Linked DNA regions of Caenorhabditis elegans. The protein of the gene in region 1 interacts with the protein of each later gene in a pairwise test. Each region holds a gene or a part of one and is shown on either strand. Other genes may lie near its edges.

Region 1 (8,516 bases):
CCAGTTACCCTTTAGCTCTCTGACCATTACCCAACTTTTCTTGAGCAAAAGCACTTTGTCGGGAGAAAATGGAATGGAACTAAAAAAGCATACATTGATGATGAAGAAGAAGAAGCAATTCGATCCTGTCATCATGTTCGTTACCGTAAAACACAACTTTACGCAAAACGAAAAGCAAAAAGCAAACGGGCGGTCGAATAAAGGCGAAGAGAAAAAAAAAACGAAATGTCAATATTGTGATGATTTATGAGAGGAAAAGGAGGAGCAACTAAGAAATAGAAAAACCCGAAGAAAATGGATGATTACTCGTCTCGTCTTGCTCCTGTACATACCGTTGTCTTTAATTCTCTACCGTCTCTCTATAGAGACCAGAGAGGAAGCTTCTCCTTGTTCCGCAATCCTACTCCTCAAATTCTTATATTTGTTCTTTTTTACTAACCGACGACACCCCGCGACATACGTTTTTTTGCTCGTGCCTCGTGTATGTCATACATGGATTGGGACTCGATCAAGTTATTCAACTTGTACCATCCTTCTTTCACACAGTAACCTAGACACCTTTCTACAGTAACCCTAGATAACTCATAAATTTAAAAGTACTCCATTTATAACTGGAATATCTAGATTTTGTGCATCTGATTCTGGAAGGCATAATCAAAAATTAATCTCATACAAGTTCTAGAATTCAAAGATGTTAAAAAAATTAAAAGTATTTCATCTCTTTTTAATTGAAGTAATTTTTTCAAAATAAAAACATTTCGAAATTGGAATCTGATGAAATTTAACACAAAAATGCCTACCTACTTGCCTGCCCAGCAATCGCAACTTACCGTGAAACTTCTAGGAAGTTCTAAAAAATAAGTTTGTTGCTAATTTTTAATAGACCGTATTTGTTTTTCTTGCTCATATCACGATTCTTTGGTTTTATACAAATTGTTGGGGGTGAAATATTAATATGACTTAAAGAAGTACGATGTTTGCAGAAGGTAAATTTGTTTGGCCCCAAAGATTCCTTTCTATTTGTCTAACTTCACGGAAACCTAGTTTTATCATCAACTTCCCAATTTGAGTAGATTACTTGTATTCTCTCTATTCTAACATTTTCTTTTTCATTGCTCCTCTTCCATCACAATCTAGCTAAATCATAAAATTGCAACACAAACAGCCGCCCCATGGTTGAGGCCCGGGGAGGCTTCTCCTCATCATCATCGAGAGCCCCACACAGTAGTAATTCATTTATCTCTGCCTCTCTGCACCCTCTCACTTCTCGTTCTCACTATCTCAAATGGGCAATTTAAAAGTGGGCGGGGCTTTTGGGTCTCGGAACTGCCGGGGGCCCAAACTACTTGCATCTCTATCAGTTCTGAAACGGAGTGAAAAAGAAAAAGAACAAAATGGGCGGAGTCATGTATGAGGGAGAAGACGTGTCGGTCTCCCGTGGCGGTCGCCTTCTCTCTCTCTTTTGCAACAACTCATATTTTACCAGATCATATCTCGTCCCTCACACAGGCGCCCGGAGCGTCAGGTACAAGAATGAGTACCTGGCGCGAATCGAATCGAATATGTCTCCCCTCACCACCACCACCACGGGGGTGACAATTATCATCAAATTCGTCTCGAATCATCGACGACGTCTTCTGATGAAGAGAGAAAAAAAAAGACTTTTTCTGGGGTTGACTGTGTTCATTAATTCAATTAGTGTTTTATCAATCATTCAACAAATCATGCAAGTAATTCAGTTATTCATTCATTGATTTGCCATTTTTAGAAATTTCTGCTTTTTTAGTCAAGTTCTGAGGTTGAGACTTTCTTGAGAACTTTCAATAATGTAGTTCCATTTTCACATAAAACAATTTCAACCTGCCATGTTATTTTTAATATCTCAGCTAACACCTTTCAGAGCTCACTTACAGAAGCTTAACATCTGCAAGACGGAGCAACCATTTTTTCTGTAGTCTGGCGTCGAGCATGATTTTTAAAAATGATTTGTACTAGAAACTAATTGTGACGCCACAATTTGCGAGAAAGGGACACTGTCACTTTATAGCGATATATGTATCTATAACAAATTTCTGGGTTAGCTTTGCACTAAGGCTTGTATCTGAAAACGTCCGATCCTCATTTCCTATCTAAATTTAGAAATCAAACTTTACAACTCAACCTAAAATAATTCTAGTCTACAAGATCTGATGACTCATAATCCGAAAAGCCTGTAGAACACACACAAACAGAACTCAGACCCCACCAAATTTAACGGAATCTTCAACCGCATCTCGCACTTTATATTCATACCGATCCGATCTTTTTTCCATCCTTTTTTTCCAACTATTTCAATTGCAACACCGTATCCACCTCATGGAAAAGGGGAACCGCTCACTCACTCATTTTATACGATTTTCATCTTCTACACCCTCACTTACTCACATCATCACTCACTACCTTCCCCTGATCATTTTTTGAGATATTCTTTCTTTACCCAACCATGAACAACAAAATTTCATATTTACACTCGAAAAAAATCATCCGATTCAAGATTCTTCTGCGGCTATACTCGTCATTTGGCGCGAACTGATTGCCTATGGTTGATCCAAAAATTACTCTTTCAAAAACTGACAAAGCTCGGGGCAAACTTGAGAAAGTCCTGGTTTATGATGTACCCAAATTAAACTCACGTTTTATCTAGCTGTTGTGAAACTTGTATTGTATCGTTTTAAACTTGGCTGAGACGCTGAAAAGAGTTAGATCAATTTTGGGCTGAATCTGGGTGCGGCCTAAACCCAGTCATATAACCAAGTATTTCGTAACTTTTGCAAAGACAAATGGCGAGCCGGTGCATAATTCAAAAATGTTCATTCCAAAAATGCATTATGGGCAAATTTAGACTATAGGCTCGCCGCTCGATAACTAGCTCATTCGAGCAATATCATTTATGATTAATGACTCTATTTTAAAGTTCAATTTTTTATCGTCAATTGAATTCCATTCCCATTCCCTTACTGCCATCTCGTGTCTTCAATACTTTTACCATTTTACTCTAATAATATAAATTTTGATAATAGCCTTGTTTTCGCAATATGTGCCCCCTTGTCCCGTCGCCTTCTCATCTTTCTAATATAAATCGTTTTTGTTCTGTCTCTTTTCTCTGTGTGTGTTGTTTTGTATCCTTTTCTCTGCTTTTTTCCCTCTTCTTGTCCACTATTACTCTTTCATTCTTTGCCTATCATGCTCATCTTCTAGTAATTTCAACTTTTCAGAGCTCCAGATGAATGAGCTGCTCGCCGAGATGGCCGCGGTTTCATCCCGCAGAAAACAGTCAAAACCACGTCGAATGTCTGGTGGTAAGTTGAGGGAAATGAGAGGAAAATGCGGGGTGTTTAATGAAGTAAAAGACAAGAAAATGAAACAAGGCGATGATGATCGACCTTGAAATCTTGAAATTTTCTGCGAAAATAACAAAGTTGAATATTAAAACTTAAAACGCACTTTTGGAATGTTTCAAAATCATTTTAGTTCTACATTTTTGAAGGTTTTTAGACTTTCTAGAAAAACCAGTTATCACTAGTTTTTATGGGTTTTTGGGACATAAGTAATGAAAATTGGAAGGAGACAATAAATTGGTGTAAATTTACAATTTTAATGTCAATTCCTCTTATCAACTTATCAATATTATTCATATTACTTCGAATAGTTTCGGACGAGACATTTGCTAGAAAACCAGTATTAAAAAAAAATTAATATTACCAAAACCATCCTAGTTTGGCATTTTCATTTAAATATAATTTATCATATATTTCTCGTTCATTCATTTTTTTAAGTTTTAATGAGAAATCTGTCACATCTGTTCCACTTCAAGGAACACTTTTTCATTAAAATGTTTCCAACACAGAACCTTGTCAAATATGATAACATATCTCTTATCTCTATCTCTTTCGTATCTTCTTACCTCATTTTTAGTGTTTTTTCAATGCTTTTCCTTCGATTCTTTCAATCATAACCAATCAAAACCTACCGTAGTCCAAAGAGCTCCTCCCGAAGACCAGAGACACTTATTATATTTCCATTCATCTTTTCATATTGCTCCGCCCCTCCGTCACATTTCCATCCAATCATAAGCGACTATGAGGAGAAAGTGAGAGAGAAAAAAGAGCAAGAAAGCAGAGAAACGAGAGAGAGAGAGAGAAAATGTCCAAATATGGGAGTGCAAGGGGAAGGGAGAAAGAGTTTCGGAGAAAAAGAAAACCAATCAATTTGGCAAGTTCTGAGACAGACAGACATGAGAGAGAAAGGATGAGAGCATGTTGAAAAGGGGATGACAATTTGACAATTTGAACTTGGTGTCCAGCTCAAAGAGCAAGACTGAAATTTGTTTTGAAAGTTTTTAGTAGATAATGTTAACCAAAACGAGTTTCACAAATATTTCACCTGTGACAATAAAAGTTTAATTTTCCATTCAGTACTGTCAAACATTTCAACAGCTGTTGACAATTCGATGAATGTGAAGACCCAGTCTCTTAGAGCATGACTTTGTATGCAGAATATTTCTTGGTACTTTCTGCCTGTGTATGTGCATACAAATTTTACAGTCGTATATTTTCTATAAACATGTTGAAATTTAAGATTAACCTTTTTTTATTTAAAGATATATAGGCTTACTATTAGGCCGAGGTTGCCTTGCAGGCACGTATGCTCAAAAAAATTTTATATTCATCTTTGAGAAAAGAAGTGTATCATTTGTATCATAATTTCCGGTATCAGTTGTCTCTAAACCACCACCATCAGCTCTCGGCTTCATCTTCACAAATCATTTTTTGTGACGAACAAGTGCTCTTGTGTGTGAGACTTGAGACTTATTGTCATCTCATCTCTCTGCTGATTCTTCCATTGGCTGAGCCCATTATTATTTTTTTCTATTGAAAGCCTTATTGATTCTCTCTTTTTTGTGCTTCAAGTGGCAACATTATTGTGTTCGAGGTCCGCGAGCCGCCGCCTTCGACACGAGTCGAGTCGAGCCATCATAAAATCGAATTTATGATCGAACACAAAAGAAGTTTAGAGTGGCAGGATGAAGACGTTGTTGTTGCGAATCAGAATTCTTCTTCTGTGGGTCTTCTCCCCTCGAAACTCGATCATTTATTATAGTGTTTTTGTGTAATACGAGAGAAATAGTGTGCAATATCAGAGCTTCCTCCTTCAACAAGCAATATGAATTGGTTGGACGATGGAGACGAAAATTGAAACATTATGTGTGTGTGTCACAATGTGTGTGTGAGAGTGTGTATTTGAGGACCAGCAGAGTATCATCATCTCATATATTTTATGGATTTTTGATGGTAGCAGAGGTAGATGAGTTGAAAAAAAAGATATTTGGGGAGGAGGAGCGTTTGGATAACACTCATTAACATTGGAGGACTCTTTATGAGCGCGTGAGAAGAGAATGAATGAGACTATTATTGAATGGATGATATCAAACCAACTGACTCGCACACAGATAAGATGATAAAAATGAAGAGTTTTTGAGTTTTTGCTCATGAGTTGCAGTTACCAGAGTACTTTATTTTAAGGGGCTCAATTACGATATTTGCACAATCAAACAGTTCAAAACTGAAAATAGATAGCGTCATGTAATTCTCGCCTCGAACGAAAGTTTGGGTAGTTCCTTTGAATCCAGTACTATCTGATAATTGAAAGATTTCAGCTGCAAAAGGCAACTCGTCACCAAATTCTCAGCCAAATTTCGCCAACTTCGGCCACTTCCGTAAATGGCACCTAGAAAAACGCTAAAGTTGGTTAAGAAATATCGTTGATTTTCCGAGCAGTTTGACGAGATTTTTTGTTTTAACTTTCAGCTGAAATTTTTTTGAGAGCAGATTTTTCGAGTCTATTTACTACTACTTTGGAGGACCGTAATTTTGCTCTTAAATTGAATTCGGAAAAAATTATAATTGTAAAGGTCTCTAGGGGTATGCAAACATTTTGGAATATTTTTGGAAATTTTAATTTAAAAAAATTAAAGCCTAAAAATATCCAATTTTGAGCAGTCTTCCAGTTCTCAAAGAAATGAATCATTCACTTTAAAAATTTTCAAATTGAAATTTACTTTATACAGTTAATGTACAGCGACATTTTGTGTGGTTACCCAAAATTATATTAAAACAATTGAAGATATCTAGAAAGTTCAAAATTTGTTGCTTCCAGTGTTTTTTGAAGAAACAGGATTTACTTTGGATCTTTTGATCTAAATACTTGAAGTTGTCGTTTTGCTTCGATGTTTTAATTTGTTCGTTTGAAAACTTCAAATTATGTCTCTAATTGTACAATCATAGTCCCCTTTCTCAATCGGCCGTTATCATATTTACAGTATCCTCCATCTTTCCTCTGTAGACACATCGTGTCCCAATCGACTCGAATTAGTTGTAATATGCGGAAAAGTTAATCAAATCATGCCCTTTTTGTCAATAATCAATCGTTGACATCGTCTTAATTTTTCCGTTAAACCCACCTCCTTCTTCGTTTTTTGCTGCCTTTTTCGTAATGTTTATTAGAGCGTACTTAACCTTTTCACCCCCTCATTTTCATTCCTTTTCTCTAATTTTGGCTAATTCTCGCAATTATTTTTCAATTTTTTTGTTCAATTTGAAACTCTTAATGTTTTGTTGCGACCCGAAGACGTCGTTGTTGGGAGAAGGGGATGAAGTTTTATGTGTTTCCGACGCCTTCTTCTTCTTTTGATCATTTACCGTTTTTACAATTTTTTATGACATTTGGAAGGAAGGTTGTTGCTTTTTGGAGAAGTTTTATTTTACTATTAAATTGGTATATAGATGACTTTCTATTTAGGGACGATACTCTCTGTTTTATTGATAACTGAAGAATGTGGAACAGGAGGAGTAAGATTTATTTTTTGCCTAGAAGTTAGGGGGACTGTGAGGTGCAAAAAACTGAAATTGACCAACGTTCAATTCTGAAAATTCGGAAGTTGGAAATAATAGGGCTCAACATTTCAGCCGTTTGCTCATATGTCCAAATGGCAATAGACAGCTGAGCAGAAATATACTCGAAATGAAAAAAAACTAAAATAATTCAGAATTTTCAAAATTTTGCAAGATTAATAAAAAGAAACCTGAAATATAAAGTTTGTTCGAAGGCAAACTTTGTTTCAAAAATTAGGATAGGTGAACACGGAGCGACTCAAACTTTCGACTACAAGTATACATTTCAAAAACATTCTTGAAACGTCTCCCTTGAACACAATGATACCTAGATTTAGCCTGTAAAAATCTTTTACACTCCATTCTATTTTAGTTGGTAAAACTTTATGAACTTATCATGTTGCTCTTCCCAATATCTCCACATATTCATTTTTCTTCCAAACCAATCAATCATAATATATCCCCTCTCATAAGTCTCCACCCATCATCCAATCGGATGCCTCCTCCTCTCTCTCCGTTCATCTGTTCCATTAAGTCTCCGTTTCGAATACGGTAATATACCCTTCCGGATCATCAAATCGATTTCTATTTTCAACAACAAAAAAGCGTTTCGGAAATTATAAATGTTGCGAAAAAAGATTTCAATGAGAGGGGTGAGACAGGTTCCGAACCCATAAAGCCTCCTCCTCTTCCGTCCCTCCACGGGGTCTCCGCACACATTAATGGTTAAGAATCTCTTTCAATTCACACGCTATTTCATCCATACAGCTTCCTTCGATCTGACGCGACGACGATGACTTTTTGTGTGACAAAAAGTTAACGAGCAACCGATGTCAAACTGTGTATGTATGTGTTTGCGTCGGTTTGTTGCGATTTTTACGACCCCTTCTGTTTCTTGTGAAGAGAGATGAATCGGATCGCCGACGGCGGAGAAGACGTGCATAATTTTTGCGTTTTTTCCGCGCCATTGACACCGATTTGGTACACATTAAATTAAAGATAAATGAAGAGAGAGTGGGCGGAGCTTAGAGAGAGTTGGGTCCATTAAATCTTTAACTTGCAACAACAGAAATTACAAAAAAGTTAAAAAATAACAATACATATTTACAGAAGGTGATGCGATGATGTCTCCAATTGATTTATCGACAAAGAGTTTTGATGAAAATAACTGTGAGAAGGGAGCTGGTGGAGCACTTCCATTGGAGGATCGATCTAATATTTTACCTCATTTTTCTGTGCCATTTGCAAATCCACAGCAGGTAGGCAGTTAAGAGAGATGTTTTTGTAACTGAAAAGGCTAGCTTGTTAGGTGCAAAACTTTGTTTAAAAGAGGTTTAAAATCTGTTCAAACTATTCTCTAAGCATTTCATTTCAATTTTTATTCCGAGAACCCAAATATTGGGACCACAAAAACCACAAGTGTATTACGGTTACCAAAAATAAAAACTGTGACAGTTCTAGACATTTGTAAAAAAAAACCCCATTTACACAGATAATTTAGCGGCAGATTAACATTTTGAACTGGAAAAACCGATCTGAAAATTTTCAGTGAACTTTTACACTTCTTTCGAAAACACTCAGAGTTTT
Region 2 (7,320 bases), 6.2 Mb from region 1:
CTAGAATTTGCTATAAACTTATAAACAGCTAGAGCATTCTGTCAAGTTCGAGAAACCTCTGTAATTCCCTGGAAGTTTCAGGAAAGTTCTACAAAACTTTAGATATACCGTCGCCCGCCTGCATAGCTACGTAATGTAAACTCTCCCTTTAAAGTTTGATTTCACAGAATCTCGCAGCTTTGAGGGCACATTTCTGCACACCAACCTGACTAAAAATCTCGCACATCGTCTCCGGCACATTCTCCGCTTCCTCGTCTGCAACCGTCTCCATAGATGTCAGTATTTTTGGAGTATAGAGCTCCAGAATACTCTTCGGCTCTTCATCAGAAGACCTTAATGTCGACCTTGGAACATAGCTGTCATTGGGCGACGATTCCTGGGTTGATTGTTCCTCCGGTGAAACGGGAGAACTCCGCGGCGCTTCCGCCATTGTTAAGAAATAAATTCAAAATTATGAAATCCACGGAAAGTGGTGGAATTTTGTGGTGGAATTTTTGTGGTGGAATTTTTTCTGTACGGAGGGGGATAAGAGTTCACGTTTGTTTAGTTGAAAATAAAAATAAATATATAAACTATTTTATTAAATGATTTTTAGTTGTGTTTCCAGTAAGCTTCAATTGAAAACGTTTCAACACTACCCTCATCCTTTATATCGGTTTCTAAAATGTTAACATCTTTGTGAAGTAAAAAACTGGAATAGATTTTGAACTAAATTTTGACATGAATTGAAAATACTTACGTTCATATTCAAACTTTCAATTTCTTTTTCCGATTCAACATATCCGTTCAACGGATAATAGGTGCAACTTATCTGAAAAGTAATATTAGAAATTTTTATAAATCTGTTTATCAGACGTTGTGGCCTGTTGAATAACAAGCTTCAGGAAATGCTTCAACGGCAAAAGTATCAAGTGGTTCTGTTCCGGTAATTTTGAAACATTATTTTTTCAACTCTCTTTCCATCATTCTTCACATTGAACGACCAACGCATCTAAAACTCATTAATAAACTTTGTTGATATAATTGAAAACTTACTTGTGCATATTCGAGATAATTCTTGCGATGTAAGTATGCTTCGTTATGTTCTCTGTCTGACTCGCTCTATATTAGAAGCAACAATTGGCCTAACTGGGGTTCCATCGACGTTATCATAAGAATAGGTGTCCTTGATTATGTCATAAGTGAATTTTATGTAGTCTTGTCCTGATTTCGGAATCAATTGGACCATCTTCTCCTGTGTTTTGAAGGATGTACGATGGACAACTGAAACTGGAAATACTTTAGTATACAGTTTATTTGGGCTATATGAATACTTTATGAATAGACTTTATGAATAGAATTTGAAATTTGCCGTTGCACGGCAAACGGCAAAATTTCCAAATTCAACAAATTTGCCGCACACGAAAAAATACGACAACTATCATATCATTTTCTGAAAAATACATATAACACTCACGAGTTGTATTATTTTCTGCTGTAGTGGTTTCAGATGTTTGATTTTTAGGAGAACCTGAAACATCCATTTCTTAATTATTTAACATATATCGCTTTTCTCACTTTCCTCATTATTCTTACCAACAACTTCGGACAAGCCAAAAACAATTGGCGTTGTTATGAACAAGATTCCAATGAATACTGTAGCTCTTTTAGCGATTGTCTTAGAAGAATTACTTGCTTGGGATCTTAAAAAATATTCAGAGTTTTCGCAAATTTTTATGTATATATTTTTTTGTGAAAAACTGAACGATAAACGTTTTACTTCCTTTAATAAATTTTTTGAATATAAAATGGCCAAAATTAATCTTTTATTTGGAAAATCTTGGGCTCACTAGCAGTGCAAAAAAAGAAACTTACTTGTTAGAACTGCCTAACAACAGTGATTCGTTTTGTGAATAAATAGGATCTTCCGAAGACATTTTCTTATATTTTAACAAAAGATAAACTTATCAAAAAGGGTTGAAAAATGAATATAGTTCGTTTTGAAAGAATTGGGTTCGGCAGCAGGCTTGCTTCGTAGACATGCAACAAGGAAGTATTCGTGAAAATCTAAGAAGTTGAAAAAGTTGTAATCTTTAAAAAACGTAACTGTGATCTTTATTGCCTCTCGTCTCGTAAATCACGGAATTGAAGAGATGTGCATGGCAGTAGAGCATGTCGGTGGTAACGATACAGGTGAAAAGTAGGCCAAATTTGTATTTATCAGTTTACCGAAAGATTTTTAATCAAAAGATTTCTAGATTTTTAATATCGGAGTTTTCTCCGTTATATATTCAATCGTTCTTGCTTTACGCTTATTGGAAGTGCGATATAATTATAATTATTTTATTTCATTTTGAAGATGTTGAAGAAAAGAAGCAAAGCGATGCAAACGGCGCGTTTGCAAAATGTCTTATTTTAATATACATGCATACAAAGAAAGCACATTATCATTTCATAATTAGAGCTCTGATCGCAGAAAACAAGCGAGAAGTGCATTGCGAGATTTCCAGTTTTTCCACATCAGTTATTATTTTCGAACTCCACGAAATCCTGAAAATAGAGTAATAGTTAAATTAAATTTTGGATAAGAAGCACAAAAACTCACAATCAAAAATGTGGCTCCCAGCAGTATCGCTTTGAGCTTGACATCAAGGTCGATGGGAACTGAAATTCTTTCAACTATTCTTTCACTTTCAAGACTAACTCACAGGTGACTGCAAAAGTGTCGGCATCGGTAAACGCTTCACGCAATAGTCCACCCCACTTCTTGGTTATTGAGCCAATTGGCACGGAGCTGTCGGGAGTTTTGATCTGAAAAGTATGGAGTATTTTAAATTCGGCAAAGTCTTGTCACCGTAAAATCCTTATCTTCACAGCAGCAACTTGTGCAACATCCTTGACCATCAACTAGGAAAATCAGATTTCCATCTTTATCCAAAATGTTATAGAATGAATTCGTGCAACCATATCCTTGAAGGACAGTACCCAGAAGGCCAGTTGATAGTGATTCAATGGTGCATATGTTTTGAAGACCTAGCAAGCATCCACAAAATGAGTCTGCGCAGCATCTTAATTCTCGTTTGACGATGAGCACATTCTTAACAAAACAAATGTTTTAAAAACTTAATTTAAAAGAATTTTCAAGAAACTTTAGGAATGTTTTCCTATTATTACACATCCCATGAAATAATCAGGAGTTAAAAAGTGATAAGAACTCAAGCTTCATGGCTTAGAAATCTGCATCTCTAGGCCATAACTCACCTTGTTAAAATTATCCACAATGTGCATCGTAAAACCTCGTTGCGATCCACAACACTGTCTCTCCCAAGCGTTGGATTCTTCGAACGCATAGTAACACTGCTGTCCATTTTTATTTCTAATAGCATACTTATTTTTACTCTCCCATCCAGTAAGAATCTCAAGAACCTCCTTCACTTGATGCACCATGACCGTGTCCAAGTAGGCAAGGTATTCCAACCCTGCTGGGATTCCCTCAATCGCTGGAAGTGCTTCCATCCAAATTGCTCCGGGAGCTGCTTGTATAGAAGCTCCTGGTTCAGTTGTTATGGCTCGGTCTTCAATTTCAACGTAATCAGGTGGTCCATTATAAAATAGTTGATCCATTATTTCGAATCTGAAACTTATAAAAAACGGGTTGCTGATTGTTTGAAATTGCGCTTAACTAAGCAAAGATTGGTCCGAATTCTTAAATTTCATTTTGTTACAAAATTGGTGCTCAAAAATAGAAAAAATAGATAAAAGAGTTTACTGACTACTCAATAATTTTACTCGGCTCATCGAGCTCTAAAACTGATAAAAATAGAGGTAAAAAAAATTTCGTCGAAATAAACACTTAAAAACGCATATTGATATTTTATAACTCATAAATCCGTGGGGTTTTCTTCAAACACTACAGAAATTACAGTAAAAACTATTGCTTTAGATCGAAAAAAATTGCTGAACAGTTGAAACCGGAAAACTGGTCAAAAGTAGGAAACATTCGTTGTTTTTATTGATGCTCAAAAAACATGAAACAGAGAAAAAGCGGGTTCAGAAAGTGGGACCAGCGAATGTGTTCGGAAAGTGAGAGGCGCATAGACGAAGAGGGAAGCTAGACACACATACTTTGAAAACAGCACAAGGTTCAGGGTACTCGTGTACTAAAAATTGAGAGAATTTTTTCAATTTATAACATTTTCATACGAGAATTCATTTGCAATTACCTAGAAGCTACCAGGGGTCACCACATTTCTCTTGGGAATTATCGAAAATTTATTCCTGAGTCATCAACTAACATTCCATTTAATTCCCTCATAAACTTTATTCATTTTCAGTCAAAATGTAAGTCAGCAGTTCTCTTCGTCTTAACATATCCTCCATGTCTTGGCTTATGATCCACATCATCATCGAGCCTCTCCTCGAACTCTGAAACTTCTACAGGAGCGACATGGGTAGCTGCAACCGGTTGCTTCACACTCTCCAATTCGGATTTAGTTTCGTTAGTGGAAACAGAAGCGGGGGTGTACTTGGATGGTTTGATCTGCAATTTAAAAATTGGAAAAAAAATCAATAACTGTTTTTGTAACTCACATTTTTCCACTCCTTATCAAACTCATCACTTTCCACAGAAACCGATGGTTTAGCTCTACGAGAACTGTGCTCCGTCTCGTGTCCTTTCTCCAAAAGTGCCAACATAGCTTCACGTTCCTCTTCAGCTTTACTGATCATCTTGTGTTTTCGTTGCTTGGCACACACGTACATCCAAATAAGACACAGGGCAATACAGAAGCACCAAATGAGAAGGACAAGGAGTAGGATGTAGATAAGGATGTTCGCATCGATTCCTGTAAGAAAATTGGTAACGGTATAGCTGGCAACAGTGCTGACGAGTTAACTTATAGTTAGTGTAGATACTTTCTCCAGAATGTTGTCAGCTTTCTGGCGCAGTATTTTAGATAGGTATGTGCTAGGGCTTCCATGAAGTCGCCGCAACGGCGCATCCGCTGGCCTCAGCGGTCACCGCGCCGGCCTCACGGCGTCACTCAAGCCGCATGTATCCGAATGTATAGTGAACCCCGACAGTGTCGGCTGCTTCAAATAACTGCCTTTTTGCATTTGAATATATTTTGAATACACATTCGAATACACAGCGGTATCAGCGTGAGGCCCGCATTTCGCGCCTCACTCAGCTGGGATTCCTAGTCTGTCCAATCATTCTTTGGTCGCAGGCGGCGCAAACCCACTAGGCCTTTATCAATTAATCTCAAATTACCAAATTTCAAACGCGCACTACGTGAAAGCTGGTGGAGTTTGCCGAGCAGGTCGCAATTAGGTCTGATCTGCTCAGTGTGCCTTAGATCGACGAGGCGTGATCGCCTACTCCTCGTGCCAAATTCTAACCTTCCTGGGCATCCGGATCACTGGGAACATATACAGTAGTTCCATTATCCACTTTCCTCTTCCCTGACATCATTTCAAGTTTTTCGGCGTCTTCTTCCGTATCCGCATCGTATTCTTCAGTGGTTGTTGTGGGACGAGCTGTCGAAGAACGAGACGGGATCTTCGATGGTTTGGGAATCGGAACAATCTTTTTGAATTGCTTTCTAGTAGTCTTCACTTCTGTTGTGCTCGAGAGGATTGTATGAGTTGTCGGAGCAATTGTAGACGTCGAATTAGTAGCATTTGATGGAGGAATCACCACTTCCTCATCCGCACTACCATCGAACGTCAACATTTCTCCCTCATCGTCTATCGATGCTGCTCTTTTTGCTGTTGGGGGCATGGTTGACGTCACCGGAGCAAGTGTAGTTGTCAGAATTTCTTCCCAGTCGTGAACACTATTGCCAAGAAGGATATCTCGAATCCTGAATAAAAATTTTTATAATTTTCAAAGGTGAACAGGATCAGGACATACATGCTCGCATAACTCTGAACCAAATGAGCACTTTCATGGACCTCGTTGATTTTGTCGGAACCTACAAGGGAGACTCCTGAAAAAAGACATTTTTTAAAAGGCAGATGGCTTCAAATTACTAACTGCTTGTGTTAATTGCTTTCACCAAATCCGGAATCACCATTCTGATCGATTGATTATTTGAATTGGTTAGATTTGAATTAACAAGAATTCCATTGTAGAAGAAGCTCTTTTTCCGCGAATTCCCGTTGAACTGACTTTGAAAAGCTTTCAAAAAACACGTGGCGTCACCGAAAACGGACACAATGAACTGCACATTTTCGTGATTCAAATATTCCGACGGCGTTTTTGCAATCGCTTGGCGAAAGCTATCACAAGGATTTGAGGATGGCTTCGAGGATTCCTTTACCGGAAGATACAAACTGGAAGGTAGCTGACTACTTTTCACGGCTTCACCAAAGTATTGCTGGAATATTGAGCAGGTTGATTAGGTTAAAAACTGATAAATCTTACATTATCCCCAGAATAAGATACGATCATGTTCTTAATCTTCTCATTGCTTGGAATCTCGCAGGAAATTGCTTTGAGAAGATATGTCAGACGAGAGAGCTGAAAAAAACTAGATTTCTCACTAAAACCAGTAAGAGTATTACTCACCAAATCCGGTTCAATAGCCTTATCAAGAAAGTACAAAAAATGTGCACCGGTTGCATTTCCAATCTGATTCGTTGGTTGGCACACTGGATTTTCGGGTATTTGAGCAGAAATGATGGTAGTTGTTGATAAAACGAGAAGACAAGTGATAAGTGCGTGTTTGAAATGCATCATCTTGTTCTTCTTCAATCACTTTAACTCGTCGCTTTCGAAGATATCGTTTACTCCAAATCGAGCGATTTGATGAGCATAGAAAAACGAGCAATGATCAGAATTTTGATGCTCACGTGGAATGGTGAGGAATTTGGAAAAATCGATAAAAAAAAGGGGGGGGGGGGTCGGCTCACGTATTTCATTATTCAAAAAATAATTAAAATTTGCTGACGTCTACATATATGCTAAAGTAAATATTTTAAAAAATCATAAAAAAAACAGATACAGCAGAGAAATCTCTGCTGCTGAGTTCCGTCCAATTTTCGGCAATTTCGGCTATTGCCGGAATTTTCGATTGCCGAAAAGTTGAAAAAAAAACTATAAAAATGCCCATTTTAAAATCTTTCGGGACATTTTTTCCCCAAATTCCCCAAAACTGTTAGGATATTTCTGTTTATTTTCCAAGTCTAATGTTATTATTCCTTGAAGTTTTTATTTCAAATTTTTTAATTAAAAACCAGCCGCTGACCGCTCCTACGGCGCGGGCAACGACTGGCACCATTAAAAGTATTTGGCACACATACACTTCCAGAATTTTCTCGATTTTTCTAGAAAGTTCT
Region 3 (7,638 bases), on another chromosome or scaffold:
CATTCTACAGTTCATTGTTTCAATTTTGTCCCCGGAAGAGCACAAGTGTCGTTCATTAGTAAGCTTAAGATAATTGGTAATTGGTAGTGTGTTAGGCTAGTGGTATGTTTGTGTAAGCACGCAAGAAGTGTGCATTCTTCCGGTTCAGTGACAACTAACAACTAACACGCCTAATTCCATGTAACACGCTCCTCTTCTATTATGTTTCCCCTTTTCGTCGCCCACAAAACCAGGCTCATTTAGTGGAAATCTCGCATTTGAGAAACTCCAGGCCCTCATCCTGATCATCGTTCTCGTCTTTAGACAAATTGGTCGTGTACATACACACACACACACACACACACACACACACACCCACATATACACATTGAAACCCACTTGACATCTAATTCGAGAATAGACAGGGGAGAAAGGAGACGAGTACGGTAATCGTCTACCGCCAATAAATAGGATTTTGAAGGAACGGTGTCATTAAAGCAATTGGACACCACACCGTGAACGGTAGTGGGGTGAATTGTGAATGAACACATCCAAAAACACAGTTTGCAACCATTCCGATGAATTTGGTTCCGTCGATGGGGTCATAAAAATTATAACCTCATAATTAGTATTATTTTAACAACCTCTGGATTAGGTAGAATAAGATAATCTAATGATTGTTTTACAATCACTTGATCTTCTTCCCATATTTTATGCCACAACGGAGACAATCATGATGTTCTGCGCACCGATCCGTGATCTGATGATGTGGCTCGTCAACCACCCCTAATGTATCATTGACTGCTGCTCTCAATAAAAAGATTACAAGGGAATTAGCTCAGGGGGCTGGTGGCAATTGATTCAATTTACACTCAGCACACACACACACACTGACAAATACACGTATACACCTGTCGTCTCCTTTGTCCGATGAGCTCCCGGATGAATAAAAAATGAAGATGATGCTAATTTGGGAGAAATGTGTATGATATGGGGGAAGGCAAAAGTTTGACACCTTTAATCGGGATCATTGAACAGTTGATCACACTTGCATATAGGACAAATTACAAAATTGTCTAGTTCTTGATTTTCAGATTTTCGAGTATTTTACCGTATTTCTTCTATTTTGCATCACGATTCTGTGTTTCGGCTGCTCACCAACTGGCAGAATATGTTTTTTACGTATCTGATGATTTCCAAAGGAACTAGGATAATACCTTTCAAGGTAAAGTAGTGGGATCCTAAATTGATCAGCGATAAAATTTTGAAATTTTTTTTTTTTTTTAATTTTTGAAAATTTTTTTTGGCTTTTTTAATTGAATTCTTGCGGAGTCACACATTTTTTTCTAACTCTGCAATTTTACTGTGATTTCAATCAATCATTCTGTCACTATCACACAAATTTTTCTAGATATAAATTCTCTGAAAAAGAACAATGGCTAGAAGTGATGCACACTTTCAAAACCGCATTTTAATTTCAAAGCGGATTTTTCCTAGGAAGACACCGTATGCTTGGAATAAGTTATAGTGGAAAGACGCCGGGTAAAGTTCTCGGGACAAGTTGCGGTATTTATGAGAGGAAATTGGAAACTAATTAGGACAGAGATGAGTAGTTTCAGATGAATAGCTGATTTTATTGCCATTTCTATAGTTTATTTCTTTTTTAGATGAACTTTTTCCCCGATGAATTCTTCCCAATTTCCATTCAATAACATTACATGAGTTTACGAGTTCATGTCAAATGGTGAATAAGTTGAGTTACATGAGTTTACAGGAAATGTTTGACATTCCAATACGAAGACCAGTTCAATAAATCATTCTCGCAACGACCCCTGAAACGATGACATGATTGAACAATAATTCGTTAACAAGTCGACTCAATTGCAATAATACACGGCTGCGGTCTCCTTCGACAATTGTCATCTTGCTAAACAATTGAACAAGACGAATGAAAAGAAGGTTGAGGTTTTGACAAACTGTACAGGACGCGTCTCTAACCTCCTTTCTCAAATTGGGTGGCATCATTGTTCGAAAAAGGTGTCGCTATAATTGACGAATTATTCGACTCCTAGGCAGACGATCTTCAACTGTAAAGGTGTTACGGAAAATCTACTCAGCTATGAAAGTTGGAAGGCCTCCACTTTGACGAGTAACGTAGAGTGTTTGAGGTGGAGAGGAAGCGGGACGACTTTTTGCTTCCCCCCAAAATTGTCTATTAATGAGAAGGCTAATTGACGCACTTGGTGTGAGGAAATCGCTACCGTAATTTTGTCATTTGGAATGATTCGCAATGTTCTGTTACTTGAGCGAAAACACTCCAGCGTCCGTTGACTGTATTGCATTTTATTATTTTATAATAACCAAGACATTGAAAGTGAAACATTACAGAAGAAATTAAGAGATCGGATTTTGAGAATGAGGGCAAAATTAAAGTGGCTCAGCAGGAAAAATAGAAGAGAAAAACAATAGAAATTGAGAATTTGACATTTTGCGTGATGAAAACCGGATAAATACTCTAAGCGAAAAAAAAACAATCTTCAAGGTGGAAAGGTATTATTCATCCTCATCTGATTCTTTTTTAGAAACAGATGCATTTTTTACAGAATCAGGAGATACTGATGGTGATTCTTTTGGGGAACTGATATCATCTTTTACGTTTTGCGATGCTAGAAATTGCAGTAGAGAATTTTGAGAGTTGCTAGCAGGAATCATTGAAGAAGTTGGGACGACTAATGAATTGAATACAGGGCGATTATTAGAAGCTCCAAACATTGAAGTGTTCTGTGATAAGTAGTTTGCCCAATATGGATTTGTTCTTAGAAGTTGTTGAACGGCGGCCATATTTCCAGCATCGTGAAGAAGATCCATACCAACAGAGGCTTGTCGTTTCCATTTGGTTCTGAAAGTACCGTGAACATTTTTTTTCATTTCAAGCACTTTTTTTCTCAAATTTTTTGCGCCTCCCAGGGTAGCAGCTCCAATCTCAAAAATTGGATAATGACAGTGGAGCCGTTTCCCGTGGGGTGGTTGAAAGGAGTGGGGGAGGGCGCGGAAAAAAGATGACACTACTAAATAAAATTGGTGGGCGCACGCAAAGAAATTGAGGAGGGGTGAGAGCTTTGATTAAGATAAATTTCGATGGGGGTGAAGCTTCTCGCTAATGCACTACAATTAACACAAAGTGGCGTGTTTAGACTCAATTCTCGCCCAACTGCTGGCGCAAAGAGCCACACGTTGTTGTTTTTCGAGAAAAGAAAAAAAGTTTGCCTAATTAAGGAATATAGCCGACCAACCTTCTATTTTGATACCATGTCTTTACTTGAGTATCTGTTAGCCCCATTCGATGAGCCAGCTCCATCCTATCTTGAACAGACAAGTACTTCTGCTTCTCAAAGGTGTTTTCTAGCTCTTGAAGTTGTTTGTCGGTGAAGATAGTTCTCGCCTTCCGAGCCTTTTTTGATCCCACGCATGTCGGACTCTCGTTCACAGATCTTTCGGTATTCGGGCTCCCAATTCTAGGGGATGATGGCGATTCCGAGGAATTAATGGAGGTAGGAGATGGATCTACAATAACAAATAAATAAAGAAAACTGTTTGTATAGGTAAGAGGAGAACAAAGGATCATAATTGGTTGACCTATTACTATTACAGATTACCGTCCATGTGACTACTGGAGCGTTAATCCGTTAAATATCATTTTTCAGGTTAGTTGTACATTCAACATTCTCATGGAAGTCTATGTAGATTAAAGTGTTAGAGATGGTTGAACGAACATACAATAAATGCAATAACTTTAGGAAAATGGTGGCAAAATGGATTACCTGGTTCGTTGGTTGAGTGTGAAGTTGGATCAAGCAGATCAGAAATGCGAAAAGAGCTGTTTAAGTTTATCTTCGCGCCACCGGAAGAACTCTGAGCAGCAAGTTGGTTGGTGGGGTCTAGAAAGAATGCAGGAATCAGAAACTGACGGAGATCCAACATTGACATTGTTATGATAACCTTATCAGATGATGTAACAATACAATAAGTTTTGTAATAGTCAAATTGAATGACTTTTAGACAGTAGTTTAGTGTGAATGAGTGGGTTGGAAGGGTCCTGTTGCCTGCAGTCACTAAACGTCGCAAACTCGTTGATTGGTCTAGTCACGCCCATGCGAAGTGGAAGGCGGGGCGTGTCGAAGAAGGGAATAGAATGGATGACACCACGCGGTTTTGTATTGAGAAGTGTGGTCCGTGCAATCCACCTTTTTGAAGCCAATCAAGTGTGATAATGGGGGACGATGAAGCTGAAAACGAGCAGCTTCGAGGAAAAGACGAAAAGCAAAAGTTTCGGAAATGAGGCATTCAGGTGAGAAGAAAACAATTCAGACAAATCCCGAAACTGCCGAATGCAAACTATGCACACTAGGCTTTTCCTAAAAGCAGAGTAACAACGCAATGCAACATGATCCAAACGAGCAATGATTTTCAGATAAAAAAGCACTGAATAGAATTCAATATAACTAGCTATGCTAGTGTAAAACCGCAGAAAAAATCAAAAATAGCATGCTGCTTCGGCGTGCAAAAACTAGCGACTAAAGCTAAAAATGAGTTTCAGCCCGAATGATGTTTCAGCTTTCTGACTAAAAGATGATGAGGTCTAATAGGTACATTGTGTGTGTTTTAATATTTGATACATCACTGATTTGAAATCAGCACAATGGAAAACACTATCTGAAAAGTTCAGTAACAGTGACTACTTTTGATAGTTCATTTTGCATTTAGATTTTCCTGGCTGTGATCTTAAACTTGCTTCACACGTACAGTTCAGATTAACTGGTAACATCTTTTGGTACTTGTGTAGTATACCTAACACAAAAACATTTTCCAGTACATTTTCCATGCATTTCTTTTGAAACATAATAATTTATTCAAACCATGAAATAGATTTGCATTTTTAGACTTTGAAATACTTTAACCTTAAGCCTATTATCGGCAAAAAGGGGTTTAATATTTTTGGACCAGGTGTACTAAACTGGTACCTAATTTTTTTAATCCCAGATCCGCAAAAATCAGATTCTCAAAACACTAAAAATTATAATAAAATGCTAAGTAAGTAAATTTTTTATTTATTTTGAGCTTTATAGGAACTAAAAAAATGTAAACGTTTTCCGAGCTTTTAATTTCTTGAGCATTTATACTTAATTAGAGTTTAAATTTGTATTTTTCGGTAGCCGAGTTTGCAATAGTCTGGGTTCCTCTTTTATAGACTATTATGAGCAAAAAAACTTTGTTTTACATATTGAAATATTTTAAAAATTATAAACTAATATTTATAGTTGTAAAAAATTTTCAGACCCTTTATGTTTGCTTGAAAATTTGTTCAAAAAGTTTTCAATAAAATATCATGTTGAAACATCGTTATCATTCTGAAAAATATATTTGCAAAGTGAACAATGTCAACAATCGTTATATTTTTCACAACCGATTCATGAACAACGCGAATCTATTGTTTGTTATCAACGTCTAACAACTTACTAATACTTAATTTCCTGCCGTATTACCTCTCTAGTTTTCCGGCTGTTTATGTTTGGCGGCCACCTCCGTAAAACGTTAACTTAAACGTACAAATCTAATTTTATGCTGTCCCATCGTTTTCCCTCTTTCCCACTAACTAATAAGCAATATTTCCGGTCACAAACGGTCGATGAGCAACAATAATATCTGCATTCTCTTTGACGGACAGCTGTAGGCCCATTACCGGGGTTTTATGAGGAAAAGAGGAACCGCTATATGGTGAACTGTTATTAAGGGTACCGAACACAGTCATCTGGAAAATTTACTAATCGAATACACTACGGGTTTTCATTTTTGTGTTGGAATGACTAATGGGTCAAAAAAAATTATCAAAAATGTAAACTACAGAGCTTTTTTTCAATTCTAAAAAAATGTATTGTAACAACAACTCAAGATAAGAGTGAGTTCCAGTAGTAAAATCATCAATTGAACATGTTCCTGAATTTTGACTTCATGTCGGAAGACTTTTAAATTGAAGTGCGCGAAATTGGTAGGAGTCTGCGCTTGTTTGCCGCCCGCTCACCAAAATACAAGGACAACCCATATACCGGGAGGAATTTGTCGCCTCGCCCGGATATTCGACAGACGTGACAAACGACTGCTTTTCAAACTGCCAATTTCGATGTCACACCTGCAGTTTTATAATTCCTTCGGGTGGTCTCTAATCTTGTGCAGCGCCTAATAAGAACATTTTCTTTAACAAGAAATTAAATCGTTTTGAATGGAGTTATACTTGCTCTGTTAACAGGAAATTTTCAGTTCGGCATTATTTCAGTGATATAATAAATCCACAGAAAACAACGTTTAGAAAGGTTGAATATGAGTAGCCTGATCATGATTTCAGGTGCCCGTTTCAATTTCAAAAATATTTCTGTTTTCAACTACTGTTTAATGGTCATCTTTTAATAAGATTTTTCAAAATTTTTTCAATATTTCAAATCTTCGGCAACTCGACAGCTGTTAAAAAAATGAGTAAACTCTGATTTTTACAGAAGTACATGTTTTTGGCAATGAAACACAATTTTCAAAAAAATCTCCCAACATATTACATCTGAATATTTTTAACTGTCACTCTGAAAATTGGAAATTTTATCAATAACCAGCCGATAACCGCGCCTCCGGCGCGGCCAACGACTGGCGGAGTTTAAAATGTATAACAAATAGATGTCCTTTTAATCATTCAAAAATGCCTCATTAAAAAAAGTTGAAACTTCATCGATTAAATCGCATTTTCTCCTTCCATGGTATACGATTCAGAAAATTCAAAGAGACAGTTAGAATGTTCTGATTTTTCTACTAACACATTATCATTATCAGGCTTTCGAAAAAATTCCACAGAGTTACAGTTTTTTTAATAAGTTAATAACTTTCCTTAACTGGAGAAGTCTGAATAATTAACTACTAAGTTCTTTGAATATAGATGTAACGAAACAAATAAAAACTCCTACAGTTATAGGAGGTTGTAGAGCATTTCAGAACTTTTTTGAATTTTCCAGATGATTCTAGAACAGTCTAGAATTTTCTTGAAACTTCCAGAAGGTGCTGAAACAAAAAATTTGATTCCAGAACAAAAATTTGGATTTCCCGCCAAATGTTTTCCTCAGAAAATTTGAATTTCCCGCCAAAATCTTTTTTCTCAGAAAATCTGAATTTCCCGCAAAAATTTTTTTTCCTAGAAAATTTGAATTCCCGCCAAAATTTTTCTCAGAAAATTTGAATTCCCGCCAAAATTTTTCAAAGAAAATTTGAATTACCGCCAAAATTTCTTTTCTCATAAATTTTGAAGTTCCCGCCCATATTTTTAAGGGTCTCACCACGATGGGTCTCGCCAGTTCCAGGTGGTACTTAAGCTAACAAAAAGTTTCTCAGAAAATTTGAATTTCCAGTCAAAAATTTTTTTCTCAGAAAATTTGAATTTCCCGGCAAAATGTTTTTCACTGAAAATTTGAAATTCCCGCCAAAATGTTTTTCACTGAAAATTTGAATTTCCCGCCAAAATTTTTTTCACTGAAAATTTGAAATTCCCGCCAAAAATTTTTTCACTGAAAATTTGAATTTCCCGCCAAAAATTTTTTCACTGAAAATTTGAATTTCCCGCCAAAA

The links. Proteins that work in one complex are often made in the same cells at the same time.
Region 2: the proteins of sem-4 (region 1) and scrm-2 interact in a two-hybrid assay, tested with the Caenorhabditis elegans proteins (one large-scale study listed by BioGRID).
Region 3: the proteins of sem-4 (region 1) and ceh-31 interact in a two-hybrid assay, tested with the Caenorhabditis elegans proteins (one large-scale study listed by BioGRID).

Annotation. Positions count from the first base shown.
Region 1 is NC_003279.8:7,035,646-7,044,161, forward strand, and holds the start of sem-4 (Spalt-like protein sem-4), read left to right. Parts: upstream 1-3,254; 5' UTR 3,255-3,262; coding exon 3,263-3,338; intron 3,339-4,995; exon of another isoform or gene 4,996-5,066; intron 5,067-8,039; coding exon 8,040-8,188; intron 8,189-8,516. UniProt on the Caenorhabditis elegans protein: Transcription factor, involved in positive and negative modulation of transcription. Binds to multiple DNA sequence motifs in the regulatory elements of target genes, including homeobox selector egl-5 and LIM homeobox mec-3.
Region 2 is NC_003279.8:13,231,650-13,238,969, reverse strand, and holds scrm-2 (Phospholipid scramblase), read right to left. Parts: upstream 3,623-7,320; 5' UTR 3,604-3,622; coding exon 3,241-3,603; intron 3,077-3,240; coding exon 2,834-3,076; intron 2,791-2,833; coding exon 2,688-2,790; intron 2,644-2,687; coding exon 2,585-2,643; intron 2,530-2,584; coding exon 2,500-2,529; 3' UTR 2,307-2,499; downstream 1-2,306. Other genes in the region: ZK1053.6 (SLC41A/MgtE integral membrane domain-containing protein), read right to left, coding at 206-430; ZK1053.2 (uncharacterized protein), read right to left, coding at 4,310-4,519, 4,570-4,823, 5,380-5,843, 5,894-5,969, 6,017-6,359, 6,407-6,502, 6,551-6,718.
Region 3 is NC_003284.9:3,066,342-3,073,979, forward strand, and holds ceh-31 (Homeobox protein ceh-31), read right to left. Parts: upstream 4,082-7,638; 5' UTR 3,967-4,081; coding exon 3,801-3,966; intron 3,544-3,800; coding exon 3,273-3,543; intron 3,216-3,272; exon of another isoform or gene 2,933-3,215; intron 2,879-2,932; coding exon 2,533-2,878; 3' UTR 2,307-2,532; downstream 1-2,306.